Linked DNA regions of Arabidopsis thaliana. The protein of the gene in region 1 interacts with the protein of each later gene in a pairwise test. Each region holds a gene or a part of one and is shown in the gene's direction. Other genes may lie near its edges.

Region 1 (8,651 bases):
GATCCGATCCAACAAGAGAGCGTAAACAAGCTTGTTCGATCAGTATCACTATGACATTTATATAAGCCTCATTTTGAGTCTTATATCAATTGAAAGACAAAAGATATATAGCCGGAGATCGTACAAGGTCAGGACTTTAACATCAAACGGCTTGTTACATAATTAAAGACATAATTATGGCATAAGGCATAATTATAGTAATAAACTTTAAATTTCAACAAAAGTTTTTTTTGGATGAGATACGAAAGAGCATAAAATTGGCCAGGACTTTAACATCAAAACGGCTTGATACATCCCCAATATATGCTACGCATGAGCTTTTGTTTTTAAAATTGTCAAAAAAAAATATGAATATGGGTTTTTGTTGATTTTGATGTTCATTTTGATAAATTTATCTATTTAATATAATTATTATTTTTTATGATTAGATTCATGTATAACTCGAAATATCTATTCTACTACAATATGAATATTTATATATTTATTATTCTAATATTTCACTATCATGATTACATACTACAACAATATATGATATATTGATACAATGTATGTAGTTATATTACTTATGTGTTTTGAAATTTGCCTAACTTATTTGTAACAAACAATTCTTTATTCCATATATTCTCTCATCATCTAGTACACAATCACATCATGATATGCTAGTAATTTAAGTCAACACTTTAATTCTCATCCCTACCATATAGTCATATAGAGTCTCATGTTATTGTTTTTTTGGTATGTCTAATGTCTTGGATGACTATTACGTGAAAAAATTGTATATCAATGTTATAAAGTTATCAGAACGCACAAAATTGTACAGAAAGAAGGTCATATGATAAATCAAATTCACAAAACATAATAATAATAAAATATCCAACTAAAATTACTAAATTAATATGAGGTTAGGTAGCAAACATGTAAACTACAACACAAGTAAATTTTTAGCCATTATGGATTATGACTATTGATAAAAAAAATTTAAATAAAATAAGTAGAATATAATGAAAGTAGTGCTTGGTACATTATTATGATTTTTTTCTTTATTGAATGTTTTTAGAAAATTCATTTAAGAGTGAGATTAATGGAGAATTTAATACAACAAAAGACTTTTGATTTTTTCTCAATTAGTTTTGCTAGTTTTTTAATTTAATTAATGTATAATGACACATGTCATTTTTTGTGTGATGAAGATAGTATGATGATTATGGTATGGTGATGATGGTGATGGTAATATGATATTATGAGATGGTAATGATGATGATGATATTGTGTTGATAATGAATAAATTGATGGGTTGGTGAAGCCATTTGTAAAAAGATTGATTATATTCAATTGATTTAGAGGTTTTGGTTAAACTCAAATTGATATCGATTTAGATATTTAAGTTGGATTAATTCAATTTAGCCAAAATTGGTGGGTTAAATGGGTAAACCATTAACCCATTGAAACCCAACTCATTTGATCCATCTAACCATTTGACCCAATAACTCATTTGAACTATCAATTCATTTGAGTGAAAAATTTCATCTCATTAGGGTTCATGGGTTGAGTTGAATTGGGTTGACCCATGAAACTTGATCCATTTTGACGTCCCTAATTCCATAGATAGAAGCATTAACCCACGTCTCACTACCAATTGATAATTTTTATTTTTTACTTTGATAAATGATAATACTTGAGATCAATATACTATTTTATCAATATATATATATATTTCTAACTTTCAATATATAACTTGAGAAGATTGTTTTCTCATACATATATAATTTTCTGTTGTTTTTAAATCATAAGAAAACTCTTCTTTTTCATTTTTATATAGCTTGTTAATATTTTTAATATATCCAATCATGCACTTTATGCATATAAACTGGGTTTAATAATGCCTCGCCAGCTTCTTTCTTTAAATAGATCCCATCTTCTCTTGCTCTCCAATCCCATAGGCCTCCTTGATCCCTCAAACTAAAAAGCTTGAATACTGTAAAGTTCTGATAGTGTATATAGTTAGGACCTTGTCTCAAAGTACACATAAAACGTGTTGAATGCCAAAAGTTAATATGGAAAATATTTTCATAATATTGTCGGTTTGGTATTATATTTGGACCTAATACATCATCTTTGGAATAACATCTCATCCAAAGATTTTTTTTGAATTTGAGTTCGTTCGAGATCCTGATCCCGGCGCCATACACATGACGAAGCATGCAAAGGCTAAAAACAAATAGAAAGACCGAGAGTTTTTTCATTTACTTTTTGACTTTTTGGTAGATGTTTCGTTCTTTGGTTGTTTTAACTTTGTTTTGGTGTTATTATATATATATATATATATAAATCTGTATTACTAATATTGACTTTAGATTTCCTTTAATATCAGTTCTAAGTTTTCACATATATGATATATGTCAACTATCATAATAATATAATATGCAAGATATTATACTATTAGAATCCAAATTTCTTATAATAATATTTTAGGTAAACATAAATCTATTTAAATTGAATTTTAAAGAAAAAATAATAAAATCAAGTAGCAATTACTGTATGTAAGATCAACTATAAGCCTTGAGAAAAGAACAAAAAAATAAGTTTTTCTAAAAAAATATACAATACTTGTTTATATTATTTTTTATTATTATAGAAAGTCCAAAACTCCAATTCCAAATAAATATATTCTCTAAATTATTATAGTATTATGCTTAAATGCTTTTTACCTTTTGCCATGTAACCATTGTATAGGTCTATAATTTTTCTATTGTAACCTAAGTTGTTTTCATTTTTAATGAAATACTAGATAATCACCCGCTCTACTACAAGAAAACACGGGTTTTCAAACTACAACATTAGTAGCAATATAGTCGTTAAAGTAGAAGTTACGACTATATTACGAGTAATAGCCTTAGTCGTTAATCCAGAGTCGCTAAACAAAATAGTCGTAACTTTAATCGCTAAATGACGACTACGATACGACTAATACCCGCTGTCATAACATTAGTCATATTGTACTCGTAAAATATAACGACTGAGTTACGATTGAATCACATGAATAACGAGTATCGTAGAGACTCCTCTGCGATTATTTAGCGACCACCTAGATGAAATTTTTTAAAATTAAATAAATAGAATAGAATGAAAGTTGTGCTTGGTACATTATTATAATTTTTATTTATTGAATGGTTTTAGAAAATTCATTTAAGAGTGAGATTAATGGAGAATTTAACACAACAAAAGACTTTTGTTTTTTTCTCAATTAGTTTTGCTAGTTTTTTAATTTAATTAATGTAGAATTACACTTGTCATTTTCTTGTGTGATGATGTGTCACTCATATGGAGAGTATTAGCCAACTTTCATATATATGATCCCCCTAATGAACTTTTTTTGTAAATATAAATAAACTTGGTTATACACCAATGATATGTATCATATAGTTTGGTATTTGGTACCTTTGCAAACTTGTATAATAAAATTATACAATTCATTTTATATTAACTTGGACTCTAATATTGAAGCCACCATAGCTCATTATCTATAGATATGAAAAAAACAAAAGGACTTGCTGACGTGGAACAACTCTCAACTCCATCCACCAATCACAATATTTCGATATAAATAAATAATATCACGAAATCCAAAATCAATTTGCAAAATCGAATTTGTGTGGAGAAAGAAGCTCGTCACCAAGACTGAATTTGTGGCTACGTCTAAAACACATTCTTCCACATCTCTTCTCTGTTTCTCAAGACAAAAAAAGAAAAAATGGTGGAAGATGAACAATGACGAAGAATCATTGTTATTGTTCATGCATTAACCTTGTTGTTATGTTCCTCCATGGCCTGTTACATCGTTCCTTATTACCACCATCCTGTTTTGTCTCATCCCAATAGAGAAATCTTCAGTCACCGTCACCACCACCACCACCGTTTCTGCAACAATCTCTTGAATAGAAGAATTAGTGTTCCTCGAAGCTCCGCTATTAGTGACGGTGGTGTCTCCTACAATACTCTAGTCTCCGAGGTAAGCCAAGTTTCAGGGCAAATTTTCTAATTCATCTTGATTTTTAGTAGATTTGTGTAGTTTATGATCATAATTGAATTGGGTCTGGCTTTAATTTTGAATTTGAGGTCTTGAAAATGCAAAAAGATCGAACTTTACAATACTCTAGTCTCCGAGGTAAGCCAAATTTTAGGGTTAATTCGTTTTAATCCTCATTGATATTTTTTTAGTAAAGGTTGTAGATTTCTGTTGTTTATAACCATAATTGAATTGGGTCTAGCTTTAATTTTGAATTTGAGGTCTTGAAAATGCAAAAAAGATCAAAATTTGATTACATGTTTAAGTAGTGGAGTTAGTTGATAATGTGAATGTTGATGGTGTTATTAGGCGGTGAGGCTTTTGGTTCCACAAGCAAACTTTGATTCTTCAAAGCTTAAAGTTGAGTTCTTAGGAGAGTTATTGGAGAACAAGAGTAACGGAGGAATTATTACGCCGCGGACTTATATTCTTTCGCATTGTGACTTCACTGCTAACTTAACGTTAACAATCTCAAACGTTATCAATCTGGATCAACTAGAAGGCTGGTACAAGAAAGATGATGTGGTTGCTGAGTGGAAGAAGGTGAATGATGAGCTGCGTTTACATATTCATTGTTGTGTGAGTGGTATGAGTTTATTGCAGGATGTTGCTGCTGAGCTTAGGTATCATATTTTCTCCAAGGAATTGCCTTTGGTTAGTCTTCTTCATCTTTTGTCTATTTGGTTCTTAATGAATGTGAAAATGACTATCTAATAACTCTTTGGTGTTGTGTTTGAGATAGGTACTTAAAGCTGTGGTGCATGGAGATTCAGTTATGTTTAGAGAGAATCCTGAGCTAATGGATGCTTATGTATGGGTTTATTTCCATTCAAGCACACCTAAGTACAATCGGATCGAGTGTTGGGGACCTCTTAAGGATGCTGCGAAGGTATGATCTAATTCGCGCTGGCTCGGCTTATTGTTTGTCCTTTTTATGGAAATGTGAAATCTTTGTGTGTTTTTGGTGGTGAAGGGAAAGCAGCAGGGCAATCATCAAGGCTTCTTGAGTTCGACGACTTCGAGGAAATTGATTCGACATAAGTCTATCTTCCATACCTTATTTACGTTTCTTCTGTGAGACAAAGTTGTACATTCTCCTGTGTTTTTTTTTGCAAATGATGTAGATTTCTTAATGAGCATCTGACACAAGTGCAATTTGCCAACATTCAAATGTTCATACTTGGGAAATTTATGAGAGCCTAGTTTTCTTTATGCTTCTTCAATATTAGTTGTATTGTAGCTCAAATTGAAATCCATTGGTGAGAACATTTCAGACAAGCAGGTCACATAAAGTGGGAGAGTCAAAGTTGTGGGAATTCCTTGCTCTAACCATCAGTTCAAGACTGTTAAAAGTAAATTCTTCTAAAAGAGAGACAATTGTTGGATGATAAACTTAAAAGTCCGAATTATGCAAGTCAATCCCACAATCTCAAAAGTCACCCGCAATACAACTCTCCCGTATAACGATGATGTGACACTCAATAACTCTTTTTAAAAACATAAGAGTTTTATGAAAAAAACTCTCAATTTTTTTTTTTTTTGCAAGACAAACCTTCATATCTAATAAATACAGGTCAAACCACAATCTAAAAAATATCTTGCAACATAGCCCTTCCGTGTATTGATAACGTGACAGTCGATAACTCATTTTTGAATCGATAACCGTAACTAACCAAATTTTTTTCAGATTCGTTTTTCTTTCTTTCAAAATTAACTAAAATTAACCAAATTTAACCAAATTTAACCAAACTTAACAAAAAAAATACAAAGAGGAAAATATTAGAAAAGAAAATTAAAATTTTGGTTCTATTTTATAAAAGAGTATTTAATTTTCACAAATATAACTAACAATATTTGGATATTTTGATTATTTAAAGTATTTGATTGTTTTGGTTCTAAAAATAATTAATATTTTAAGTTTAGAATTATAGTTATAGGTACTAATTTTGGATATTTACTAAGTTTCTGGATATTTCGGTTAATTGTTTGGCTATCAGTTCAATTTTATTTTATTTAAAACTTAAATCAATAACTCTATTAAATTATATGCATTAAAGTAATATATTCGATAGACTTATAAATTATATGCATTAAAGTAATGAGTTATCGACTGTCACGTCATCGATACACGAAATGGCTATGTTGCAAGAGATTTTTCAGATTGTGGTTTGACCTGTATTTATTTGACATGGAGGTTTGTCTTGCAAAAGAAAATTAAATTGAGGGTTTTTTTGCACAAAACCCAAAAGAGTAATTGAGGTCCACGTCATCGGTACACGAGAGGGCTGTATTGCGGGTGACTTTTGAGGTTGTGGGATTGACTTGCATATTTCGGACTTGGAGGGTAAACTTGCAAACGAGATTTACTTGAATGGTTATTTTGCAGAAAACTCTAAGATTAACAATACAAAATTTTCACTTTAAGAATTGATTTTACGTCTTAGCTCAAAATACAGGAGTACTTAATTAAGATAAATTGATCCTATTTGAAAAGGGAAAATGTCAGAACAAATCGTGAACTTTCAAATTTGGGACGAAAATGCAAGAACTTTCGAAATATTATTTAAGTCACAAAGTTTCGTTTGTTTTTTACTTAATAAAAATTGTTAAATATCGTTGACTTGGCCATTTTGGGCACGTCGTTAAATTCAGATTAACAGAGTTAATCTTCTGTTAAATCGAAATGACGTCATTTTTAAAGCTCCAAAACGACGTTATTTCATTAGAAAATAATGATGCAAGATTGGCGTCCACATGGAATTAAACATATAACCTATTGGACTCATAAGGAACAATCTACCGCTGATTTACGGTAGTAATTTACAATAATAGCAAACATTGCATACATATACTAACAAATAATAATATACTATTAATTGAAAATATATGCAAGAAATTTAAAATAACAAAATTAAAAAATAAAAATATTAAATAAACTAACCCTTATATATTTTTAAATTTTTCAAACATTTAATTTTATATAAATAAAGACTTCTATTTGAAAAATTATAGATCTCTTTAGAATTCACATAAGTCTTTGCAATTGTATTTTTGGAATAAATAAAAACTGAAAAACTGAAAATTTAAAATAATTCGCATAAGTCTTTTCTATTGTATTTTCTATATTTGGAATACAGAAAAACTGAAAATTATAAATAATTTCTCAAATATAAAAAACATATATATCGAAAATTAAATATTTAAATTTTCAAAATATATATGTATGGTAAGTGTATTTAATATTTGTATATATTTGTTTTTTTGTAGTTTTCTAATTTTTAATTTATTGCATATATTTTCAATTAATGGTGTAGTTTTATTTGTTAGTATATATATCCATTTATCCGGTTCCAGAATATCTTCGCTTTAGGAAATATTTCTTATTCTTCGGGGACTTCGAGAATTTTTCCTGATTTCAGATTATCCTCAAAGATCCTTCCTTATCATTTATGAGAATCTCGGAAATGATCCCGTTTTTCTGGAAGTGATCCTTTGAGCGTGATTAGATTTTAAAAGGCTTTGTCTCGCGTATTCTTGAGGTTTCCCCACGGAGTACTTCTTCGCAGTTCAGTGATTGTTCATGAGGTGGCTTCAGGGTAACCGGTACACTTTGGCTTGGGGCACGGTGATGACTATCCCTCGTGCTCAAGTGACTATCTCCCGAGGCGATATAGGCGGTCCTCGAAGCGTTCTCACAATCGGCTTGGTTTGTGTTTCTAAGATTAACTCCCGAGCCGTTTTACGGACTTACTCCCGAGGTGCTTTGTGATTGGGCTCGGGTTCAATCATCTTTTTAACCCCGAGGTGACCATTGATCTTCGTTATTTGTCTCGGTCTCATTCGTGAGGGAACCCGACCCAAACATAAGATTATTTCAAAGATCCTTTGTCAAAGACTTAAGATGGTCCTTGATGTGTGCTTTATTTCACTTTAGATTTTTACCTAAAAAATCACACTTTATTGCAAGTGCACAATAATCAGTAGTAGTATTTTAGGATTAGCTACAGAGTATTGAATTCAAAGAAGGAGATATGGCTAAGACAACACTGAACTTGAGGGTTTTGGTTTTGGGTTTCCTAATAACTAACACAATGAAAGTGAATGAAAGCAAAGTAAATGACGGTTGTGAAGTATGAGATTAAGACTTTGGGCTGTTCTTAGGGTTCTCACGGTATCATAGTTCTCGACAAACTAAGGTAAGGATCTCTTAAGTTTCTATTTATTCGTTCTAGTTCATAACTATGAAAGACGAATGAACGAATTAGCCTAGGTCATAGGACTAACCGGTAAATTTCCCTACACTCTATTACTCAACTTGTGTAGGCATGGAATCATAGTTCGACGCATTAGGATCAGATTAGAATTCAAAGAAGGAGATATGGCTAAGACAAAATTTAAGTTAGGGGTTTTGATAACATGCTATTTTCGCTCATATTTGCTATTGTTTTCTTATGGTTTAGGAAGTGTTTGGTGTGACTCCAAGGCCAAAGAAATGATATTCAAGTATTTTTGGAGTCAAGAAGGCTTTAGGAGTTTGACGGCAAAATGGACCAAAAGACGAGGAACATACGTTTTAGGACAGAAT
Region 2 (10,078 bases), on another chromosome or scaffold:
GGAGAGGAAGCTCGAGGATATGAAGCTTGCGGAAGAAGCTAAACTAAAGAAGATCCAGGAGAGAAAGTCTGTTGATGAATCTGGAGAAAAAGAGAAGATACTAAAGCCAGAAGTGGTCTATACAAAATCCGGGCACGTGGCTACTCCCAAACCTGAGTCGGGGTCTGGTCTCAAGTCCGGGTTTGGAGGAGTAGGCGAGGTGGTGAAGTCAGCGGAAGAAAAACTAGGAAACTTGGTGGAAAAGGAAAAGAAAATGGGGAAAGGGATAATGGAGAAAATAAGAAGGAAAGAGATAACAAGTGAAGAGAAGAAGTTGATGATGAATGTAGGAGTGGCTGCTCTTGTTATCTTTGCTCTCGGAGCTTATGTTTCTTATACCTTCTGCTCTTCTTCTTCTTCTTCTTCCTCTTCGTCTCCTTCTTCATCATCATCTTCTACCAAACCAGAATGATATATCTCTAAGAAAGAAAAATGTTGTGCAAATTGAAGAATGTGTATATTATATACTTTGTGATATATTTCTACAGTCTAATAAAGTTTGATGATGTCATATTTAAGACCTATATATCATAGTTTTATTGAGACAGGATTTAAAAAAAAAAAACTCAATAAACATATGAAACAAATGAAAAAATATCCATAAACCCTAAACCCTTTTAGATTTGAAGACAGAGAGACCTGAAAGCTTTTAGTTCAATCGATCTTGTCTGACCAAAAATCTGTGTATAGGAGAGAACCCAGTTGAATTGGGAACTGAGAGAAGCAGAAAGTAACTTCCTTTACCGGAGAACGAGAAGTGAACGGTGAAGGCGGCGAGGTTGAGAACCATGCCTCTTCGCTCATTTCGTTTTCTAGAATGCGTTTCACAAAAAGAATAAGCCTCTTCTTGGGGCAGACGACCAGGATTCATAGTCGCTCTCTATTGGGAAATCCGACTTTATGCAGGTCTTATATCGTTGGTCCGGTCTCTACTAGTTCTCCGGCGTTTCTGATTTCGAGTCGTAATGGTGATGGTGTTACGGGATTGTACTACCCGATACGTCGTCGTTTCATCGGGCACACTGCGGAACAGTTCTCGGATGATGAGTACGAGTGTGAATTCGAGGAACATAAGGTTCGTGTTTTGTTCATGATGCTAAATTGTTTAGATAAATGGAATCAATCAATCAACATTTGTGTTGATCTCCAGAGTAAAAAGTTTCTCAAAATGGAATTTTTAGGTGTTTGTCGATTAGATTGTTTGGTGGAATGACTATGTAAATGAGAGTCTTTGAACATTTTCTGTTTGATCCTTTATACTTGGGAAATGATTTGATCCTAGGCGTGAATTGGTTTTATAGGCTTCATCTTCTGTGGCCAATGTTGATGAGTGGAAGTGGAAGTTAGGAATTTTGTTGGCCAATGATAGTGAACAAGAAATTGTTTCCAGAGACAAAAGGGATCGAAGAGATTATGAGCAGATCTCAAATCTTGCTAAGAGAATGGGACTTTACAGGTATAGAAAACTGACTTTTATTGGAATCAAATAACCCTATGTGTTTGTGTGCGCTATGTGCTAACCCAATTCTTGGTTCCAATTTAACAGTGAAATTTATGGAAAAGTGGTTGTTGCAAGCAAGGTTCCTCTTCCTAACTACCGACCAGATTTGGATGATAAGCGACCACAACGGGAGGTAACAGTGTCTCCCTTGGTTTACCAAAATCATAATGCACAGTTTTTATTTGTAGTTTTATGCTGAAATTGTAATGCATCTCATCGTGCAGGTGGTGCTTCCGTTGAGTTTGCAAAGAAGGGTAGAGGGACTCCTCCAGGAACATCTTGATAGTCAGCAGCTAAGCTCAGGAAAGGCTAATGAATGCGTAGCTGATTCTCAACCTCCTAAACAGACTGAAGAACTTCCCGATGAAAATTCTGATTCGTTTCTCGATGGTTCTGTTATGGAGAAGGTACTTCAGAGGAGGAGTATGCGGATGCGCAATATGCAGAGAACCTGGCAGGTATTACTCAATCATCTTTACCCCACGCCTCTTGTCTTTTTATCAAAAACTTTCTGCTATAGCAGTAGTTATTTGGTTGAATAATAGGAATCCCCTGAGGGACGGACGATGCTGGAATTCAGGAAAACTTTGCCTTCATTCAAGGACAAAGAAAGACTTCTTCAAGCTATTGCTCGGAACCAGGTGAATTTTAGAGCGGGATATCTTCGCAATGCAGCAATGCATGGAAATTAATTTTTTGATCTCAACTCTCAAATTCTCAGGTGATAGTTGTATCTGGGGAGACTGGATGTGGTAAGACAACTCAGCTTCCACAATACATTTTGGAATCAGAGATAGAGTCTGGTCGGGGAGCATTCTGCAACATCATTTGTACTCAACCTAGGAGAATATCTGCCATGGCAGTTTCAGAAAGAGTGTCAGCTGAAAGAGGAGAACCTCTTGGTGAAACGGTTAGCCAAAATCCTTGTCCTTCAATTGAGCATCGATTCAAAAGCTGTCTGATTACTCCAATTAACACTAATACTTTGTTAAAAGATGCTTGTTTATTCATGACTTCATACCTAACAGAGAATTTCCGATAGGTTGGGTTTAAAGTTCGTCTAGAAGGAATGAGAGGAAAGAATACCCACCTTCTATTTTGTACAAGTGGTATCCTTCTCAGACGGCTGCTTAGTGATCGCAATTTGAATGGAGTTACACATGTTTTTGTTGATGAGATTCATGAAAGGGGCATGAATGAAGGTACATATCTATATATCTAATGTATGTTTAGGTTTCTGCAAATAGAGTCTCATAATAATATGCCCCTCACTTCTTGGTTGCAGATTTCTTAATTATAGTGTTAAAGGAGCTTCTTCCACGGCGTCCAGATCTGAGATTGGTTCTCATGAGTGCCACTTTGAATGCTGAACTCTTTTCTAATTACTATGGAGGGGCACCTACCATTCACATTCCTGTAAGACAATGTTCTTCCTCAATAGTCTTGACACTCTAGATATTCAGCATGATTTCCGTGTTTCGAGTTGTTTCTATGGGAAGCCTTGAATGTATATATATTTTCAGGGCTTCACACATCCAGTGAAAGCACATTTTTTGGAGGATGTACTGGAAATAACGGGATATAAGCTGACCTCTTTTAATCAAGTTGATGATTATGGCCAAGAAAAGACGTGGAAAACGCAAAAACAGTTAATGCCTCGCAAAAGAAAAAACCAGATCACTACTCTTGTTGAGGTACTTGGCTAATTTTTTACATCAACTGGAAATTCCTTAGAATTAACTCTAATTTGCAAGTTTAACTAACTGTGTTTCTGTTGGTCAACTAGGTTTGCTGAGCAGACCAAATATTCCAATAACATTGTTCACCATTGTTTCTTTAAAATTGCAGGAAGCTCTCAGCAAGTCAAATTTTGAAAGCTATAACTCTAGGACACGTGATTCTCTTTCGTCTTGGATGCCTGACTGCATAGGATTTAATCTCATTGAGGCTGTTCTCTGTCACATATGCCGAAAAGAACGTCCAGGTGCTGTATTAGTATTTTTGACAGGATGGGATGATATCAGATCCCTGAGCGACCAAATTAAAGCCCATCCTCTCTTGGGAGATCCGAACAGGGTTTTGCTATTAATGTGCCACGGTTCAATGGCAACTGCTGAGCAGGTTGATTTATATCCTCACGTGTTACTTTGTTTCCTTTCAATTTGAGTCACGACTCTGGAGAAGTACTAATTGTAACTTATTTAACATATTTCGTTGATGTTTACGCAGAGACTCATTTTTGAGAGAGCACCTCCTAATATTCGCAAAATTGTTCTTGCTACAAACATGGCAGAAGCTAGTATTACAATAAACGATGTAGTGTTTGTGGTTGACTGTGGAAAAGCAAAAGAGACCACCTATGATGCTTTGAACAATACACCTTGTCTGCTACCTTCTTGGATATCTCAAGCTTCTGCGAGACAGGTGAATACATTATACTAAAACCTATTGTTGTAAATAGATCTTTCTTGTGTTTTGCATCGTTCTTATTTTTGATTTCAGAACATTGACTCCTCTATATGATTTGATTGCATGATTATCATTGTTGCAATTTCAGAACATCCATTTTGCTATCTGGTACATCTTTTGATAGCTATAAAGCTTTCTCATTTGGTATGTCCAACATTTCCCCTCTATTTGGCCTTCAGAGAAGGGGAAGAGCTGGGCGTCTGTTTCCGGGAGAATGCTATCACCTGTACCCCAAATGCGTCTATGATGCTTTTGCAGAGTATCAACTTCCTGAACTTCTGAGAACTCCTTTAAACTCTCTCTGCCTGCAAATTAAAAGTCTTCAGGTTGAAAGCATTGCAGAATTCTTGTCAGCTGCACTTCAGGCTCCAGAGTCTTTGGCTGTAAGTGACAGATAAATGTGTTCATAGAGATTTCGCCAATTTCCATGTTACTAGTAACATCTTTGATTGATTATCAGATTTTTTTGTATGTGGAAGATATGATTCTTATTGTCTCAAAATTAGTCAACATAACTGTAAATATCATGACAGGTTCAAAATGCTATTGGATTCCTGAAAATGATCGGAGCACTGGATGAGAAGGAAAATCTAACGGATCTTGGTTTGTGTTCTAAGTCCTGTACAAAAAATGGTCCAACTCTTTCTTATACTACATGTATCATGACTGACTTTCCTGCTTGTTGTATTTTTGGCCTGTTCCAACTAGGAAAACTCTTATCGATTCTTCCTGTTGATCCCAAGTTGGGGAAAATGCTGATAATGGGTGCCATCTTCCGCTGCTTTGATCCGATCCTGACAATTGTATCAGGGCTAAGTGTCAGAGATCCTTTCCTTCTACCTCAAGACAAAAAAGACGTAAGTATAAGGACTCATGGACGAACATTTATTTTTATCATGATGTACGGTGATTGGTTGATTAATTGGCAAATAAATGTTTTTAAAACTTACTTTTTGGTCTTTTGAATTTTATTGAAGAGTGGGTTTTTATAGGCGGTTTTAAGCCAATAGATAGATGGATATATAACTTTTTATGAAGTATGTTGTGGTTTAATCTCTCAAACTGAGAGATGATTTCCTTGTTTTATTTTAGTTAGCTTTATCAGCCAAGTTGAGATTCTCAGCCAAAGACTACAGTGACCATATGGCACTCGTTCGTGCCTTTGAAGGGTGGAAAGATGCTGAAAGAGAAGGATCGGCTTATGAGTTTTGTTGGAGGAATTTCCTGTCAGCTCAGACGCTTCAGGCGATACATTCTCTGAGGAAGCAGTTCAACTATATTTTGAAAGAAGCTGGCTTAGTTCATGATGATTTAGCTCTCAACAACAAGCTAAGTCACAACCAGTCTCTGGTTCGTGCTGTCATTTGCTCTGGCCTATTCCCTGGAATAGCATCTGTTGTGGTAAGTCTAAGACCCATGTCTCTGGCTAAGTCTCCTTTCTCGTGTCAGAGATTTCGGTGAAATAACCTTGTTGTCCTTTTTCTTTGCACAGCACAGAGAGACTTCCATGTCATTCAAGACAATGGATGATGGCCAAGTATCACTATACGCGGTGAGCCTCTTCATTCGTATTTCCCAACATCATTACTTGAGTCTCTCGATATGGCCATCTTTTTTATTTAAATGGTTTTTACGGTTTCTATGTTTCAGAATTCTGTTAATTCGCGGTTCCCAACAATTCCATACCCTTGGCTAGTCTTTGGAGAGAAAGTAAAGGTCAATGCGGTACTCATACGGGACTCCACTGGTGTCCCTGATTCCAGTTTGATCCTTTTTGGTGGTTCATTGAGCACGGGAGTACAGGTGATTTCTCTCATTTTCCTCTTTTTAACCCTTACACTAGTCAGATTATGGAATACTCCGGAATCGAATGGATTGAATGTTGTGTTGTTTCCAGGTGGGACATCTAAAAATGCTTGACGGGTACATTGATTTCTTCATGGATCCAAATTTGGCTGAGTCCTATGTAAAGCTGAAGGAAGAACTCGATAAGCTTCTTCAAAAAAAGGCGAGTTTTTTTCAATTTTAAAAGGAAAAAGTGTTCGTAGTGCAGCACTTTAACACCTTTAGTATCTTTACGATTTGCAGCTTGAAGATCCAAGCATGGACATCCACAAAGAAGGCAAGTACCTCATGCTTGCAGTTCAAGAACTTGTGGCTGGAGACCAATGCGAAGGCAGATTTGTCTTTGGCCGTGACACAAAGAGGCCAAGCCAACCGCAAATAGGAGAGAACAAACACTCCAAAGACGGGACAAACCCGAAGAGTCTCCTTCAGACACTTTTGATGAGAGCTGGACACTCACCTCCAAAGTACAAGACAAAACATCTCAAGACAAACGAATTCAGAGCACTTGTGGAGTTTAAAGGAATGCAGTTCGTTGGGAAGCCTCAGAGGAATAAAACGCTCGCTGAGAAAGATGCTGCTGTTGAGGCCTTAGCTTGGTTGACTCATACCTCTGATAATAGTACTGGCCAACACAATGAGGATGCAGATTCTCCACCTGATGTTACTGATAACATGCTTAAACTCCTTGGAGGACGGCGCAGGCGATCCAAGGGCAAGTAATTGAATCTCTGTAGGTTTTTTCGCAGACAGATTTGGTTTGTGTAACTGTGCTTTGGACGATCTCAAATACCAACCAAAGCAGATAGAGAAATTATACTTCAGTAGTCACTATGTAACTATAGTGTCGTTTTTGGGGCAGAACAATAGTGTAGGGTTATAAACATAAAATCTAGAAACTTTAGGGGCTATGATGTATTTTGAACAATAATTGGGGTTATTATCATCTTATATGCCGCCACGTGGCATTTAACTCTCTCTGAGCTTGCTCGCTTACGCAACTCTCTCTCTCTCTCTCTTTGAGCTTCTGTAATGGCTACTTGGAGTGGTTTCAACGTCTCTTCTTCTCCGTTGCTTAGGCTTCGGTCTTCCTCCGTCTCAAATGTCACTAAGCTTCCGTTTCTCTCTCCTATTTGCCGGCGTCGGTTACTGGCAGAACGCTTTGGTCTCGCAACTGTCGTTGTTACGCGCCAAAACCTCACGGTTACTCCGTCGTCTGCGGCGGTGGAAGCTCGTATCTCAGGGAAAAGAGAACCTATGACGCCTCCGTATAACATATTGATCACTGGCTCAACCAAAGGTTTCATTCACTCTGTCTTTGTCAATTGACTCGAGTTTTTAATCTTCAGAAGGGAAAAAACATATTTTTTTATCTCATTGTGTCTCTAAAGAGTGGTTTTTGATTTATTGATTGTTCAGGTATAGGATATGCATTAGCTAGAGAGTTTCTGAAAGCAGGCGACAATGTTGTGATTTGCTCTAGATCAGGTTAGAACCTGTCCCCATTGTTGTCTTGAACTCCTTTTCTAGAGTTTGTGTGTCTGTAAGGAAACATGCAAGCAAGTAATAGAACCAATCTTCAGTAGAATTTTGCTGTTATGGCTGTTCCTGTCTTGCAGCTGAACGAGTTGAGACTGCTGTTCAGAGTCTTAAGGAAGAATTTGGGGAGCATGTGTGGGTACCGCCTTCTTTTACTGTTCTTTTCCATTCGTGTGGTCTTCCAAGGTTTTTGCTTTATGTGCATTGATATCATGAAACCATTTTCTCTTAGTAGGGAACTAAGTGTGATGTTACGGAAGGGAAGGATGTGAGGGAACTTGTAGCTTATAGTCAGAAGAATCTTAAATACATTGACATTTGGGTACACTCTCAAAACTATGAAGAACGTTCATTTGTTGGTGACATCTGTGTTAATGTTGTTCAGAGTATTTTACTATGTTTTCTTTTCAATTTTGTAACCATAGAAATAGTCTTATAATACCATCTTGAGATGATACAGATAAATAATGCGGGATCTAATGCATATAGCTTTAAACCTTTGGCAGAGGCCTCAGATGAGGATCTTATGTAAGTCTTGTGTTAAGCTTGATCCTTCTCTTCGTTAGTTTCTATGTGATTGGTTTCAGTCATTTACTTTTTGAAATCTTTATGCAGTGAAGTTGTGAAAACCAACACTCTAGGTCTCATGTTATGTTGCCGAGAGGTAGTCAAAGATGTTATAAGGAGATGAATTCAGCGTGTCTTTTGTTATTATCAGTTGGATTTACTGACATGTGTTCATGATTATTAGGCAATGAATATGATGTTGACCCAATCTCGAGGTGGTCATATCTTCAATATTGATGGAGCTGGTTCAGATGGGAGACCAACACCCAGGTTTGCTAGATTCATTAAAGTTTCTTGGGAACATGCTTTAGTAAATCTCCTTTAGGCTCTCTTCTCTGTACTGTCTAATAGCATTTTTTTGATTAACGTTTGACAGATTTGCTGCATATGGTGCAACTAAACGGAGTGTCGTTCACCTGACAAAGTCATTACAGGTAATGCCAGAGTTATATCTGTTGAACTCTTCTTCGTTTTCCCTTCTCCTTATATGACTTCTCTAGTAATTCCTGTCTTTCATAGGCAGAGTTGCAGATGCAAGATGTCAAAAATGTCGTGGTGCATAATCTATCGGTATGAATACAATATATTGCTTCATTTCATTTTTGGTTGTTTTTAGTGTCTTCCTAAATACACTGATACAGACATGCGCATAGAGATGAATAGAATGGATGGATTATAGTTATTTGAACAATTTGAATGAATTCAGGATCTAAACATGATCATAATTCTAATGTGTTTTCTCTGGATTATTGTTGCAGCCTGGAATGGTCACAACTGATCTGCTCATGTCCGGAGCAACTACAAAACAAGTTCGATGACTTAACACTGAGGAAATATTTAGATTCCATTTCAAGAGATTCTCTCTAATACGTTCTCTATTGCAGGCCAAGTTCTTCATTAATGTTTTGGCAGAGCCAGCCGAAGTGGTAAGAACCCATTAACTCTTAATTCTTTTTAGCACAACAATTTGACACGATCTCTAATCTCTAGCCCCATGATTCATGATCACACATTCGTTTGCAGGTGGCTGAGTACCTTGTCCCAAACATAAGGGCAATACCGGCTAGCGGATCTATGAAGCCGACTTACATCCGTTTCCTAACTGGAATCAAAGCCTACACCAAAATATTCTCAGTTAAGACGATTAATAGCTCTGCGTAGAAGTAAATCAAAGCATGTAAACTATTTCTGCAAATTACTTAACCAATTTGTTTTTTTCTTTGTCAAATTTTGGGAATTTGTTTCAGAGAGTTGCGTTGGGAGCAAGGAAGAACAGGTATGTTACTGAAGAGTAGGTGTCAAACTAAGTATTAGAATTGTATTGCTTTCTCAGTTTGTTCAATGGTAAATAAAAACCTCTACATTTTGTTCATGACAACTCCAAAACATGCAATCTATTGTACAATTTGGATTTAAGCTCATTTGCAAAAATGTGAGATTTCTCAGTTAATGATTGAAGTGATGATTTAAAAGTCAGTTTTTTTTTTCCAACCATAATAATTTATAGGCACTATTTTGAGAATCAGACCAGATTTGTCGAGACTGGGATCCAAATGCCTGTGGTCTAGTTTACAATTTAACAAGCAGCAAAAATGTCATTCCAAACCAATCAAACCGGGTAAAACCGAAGAACCGCCTCAACCGGACTTGATATCAAAGCGATTAAAATCAAATTACGGTTCAATTTAGTAAAATCGACTAAACCGGTTAGTTCGCAACTTTCTCTTTGCTTCTTCGTCTCTCTCTCTCTGTCGTGTTTGAGAAGACGAAAAGAGTCGGAGAGAAAGATCGGACGATGAGTGCCGAAGATTTCCAGAAGAAGGTTTCCCTCAGAGATTCCCTCTCCGGCGATATTGAGAACGAATGCGGCGGTTCCGGTGTCGGGTCTACTAGTTCGACGGTGGGCTCCGGCGTCGCCTCTCAAACCCTGGTCCTGCTTCGGAGTCTGTTGGAGATTCAGCAGCGCCGAGCTCAGGCTTACGCCAATCTCAAAAGGTTCGATTGATTCATTGGAAATCTCTCAAAGAGTTAGTTTATTTGTTGCGGTTTTGTTAAGTTCCAATTGATCCATTGCCTGAGAGTTAGACTTTGTTGGTGAATGTTGAAATTGAGGCAAAT

What was found.
Region 2: the proteins of AT1G44000 (region 1) and NOL interact in a two-hybrid assay, tested with the Arabidopsis thaliana proteins (one study listed by BioGRID).

What each region holds. Positions count from the first base shown.
Region 1 is NC_003070.9:16,704,694-16,713,344, reverse strand, and holds AT1G44000 (STAY-GREEN-like protein), read left to right. Parts: upstream 1-3,631; 5' UTR 3,632-3,823; coding exon 3,824-4,009; intron 4,010-4,375; coding exon 4,376-4,720; intron 4,721-4,808; coding exon 4,809-4,955; intron 4,956-5,039; coding exon 5,040-5,144; 3' UTR 5,145-5,341; downstream 5,342-8,651. UniProt on the Arabidopsis thaliana protein: Magnesium chelatase involved in chlorophyll a degradation in the chlorophyll-protein complexes of photosystem I (PSI) and photosystem II (PSII). Contributes to the degradation of PSI and PSII in the thylakoid membranes.
Region 2 is NC_003076.8:1,427,940-1,438,017, forward strand, and holds NOL (NYC1-like protein), read left to right. Parts: upstream 1-6,834; 5' UTR 6,835-6,886; coding exon 6,887-7,154; intron 7,155-7,273; coding exon 7,274-7,342; intron 7,343-7,473; coding exon 7,474-7,532; intron 7,533-7,628; coding exon 7,629-7,715; intron 7,716-7,853; coding exon 7,854-7,921; intron 7,922-8,008; coding exon 8,009-8,057; intron 8,058-8,144; coding exon 8,145-8,230; intron 8,231-8,336; coding exon 8,337-8,394; intron 8,395-8,479; coding exon 8,480-8,530; intron 8,531-8,718; coding exon 8,719-8,769; intron 8,770-8,844; coding exon 8,845-8,886; intron 8,887-8,983; coding exon 8,984-9,094; intron 9,095-9,207; coding exon 9,208-9,255; 3' UTR 9,256-9,556; downstream 9,557-10,078. Other genes in the region: RTM2 (HSP20-like chaperones superfamily protein), read left to right, coding at 1-451; ABO6 (DEA(D/H)-box RNA helicase family protein), read left to right, coding at 857-1,114, 1,341-1,495, 1,586-1,673, 1,765-1,998, 2,086-2,181, 2,262-2,450, 2,583-2,742, 2,826-2,956 and 11 more; AT5G04910 (DNA repair REX1-B protein), read left to right, coding at 9,756-9,955. UniProt on the Arabidopsis thaliana protein: Required for chlorophyll b degradation. Chlorophyll b, chlorophyllide b, pheophorbide b and pheophytin b can be used as substrates. Belongs to the chlorophyll catabolic enzymes (CCEs).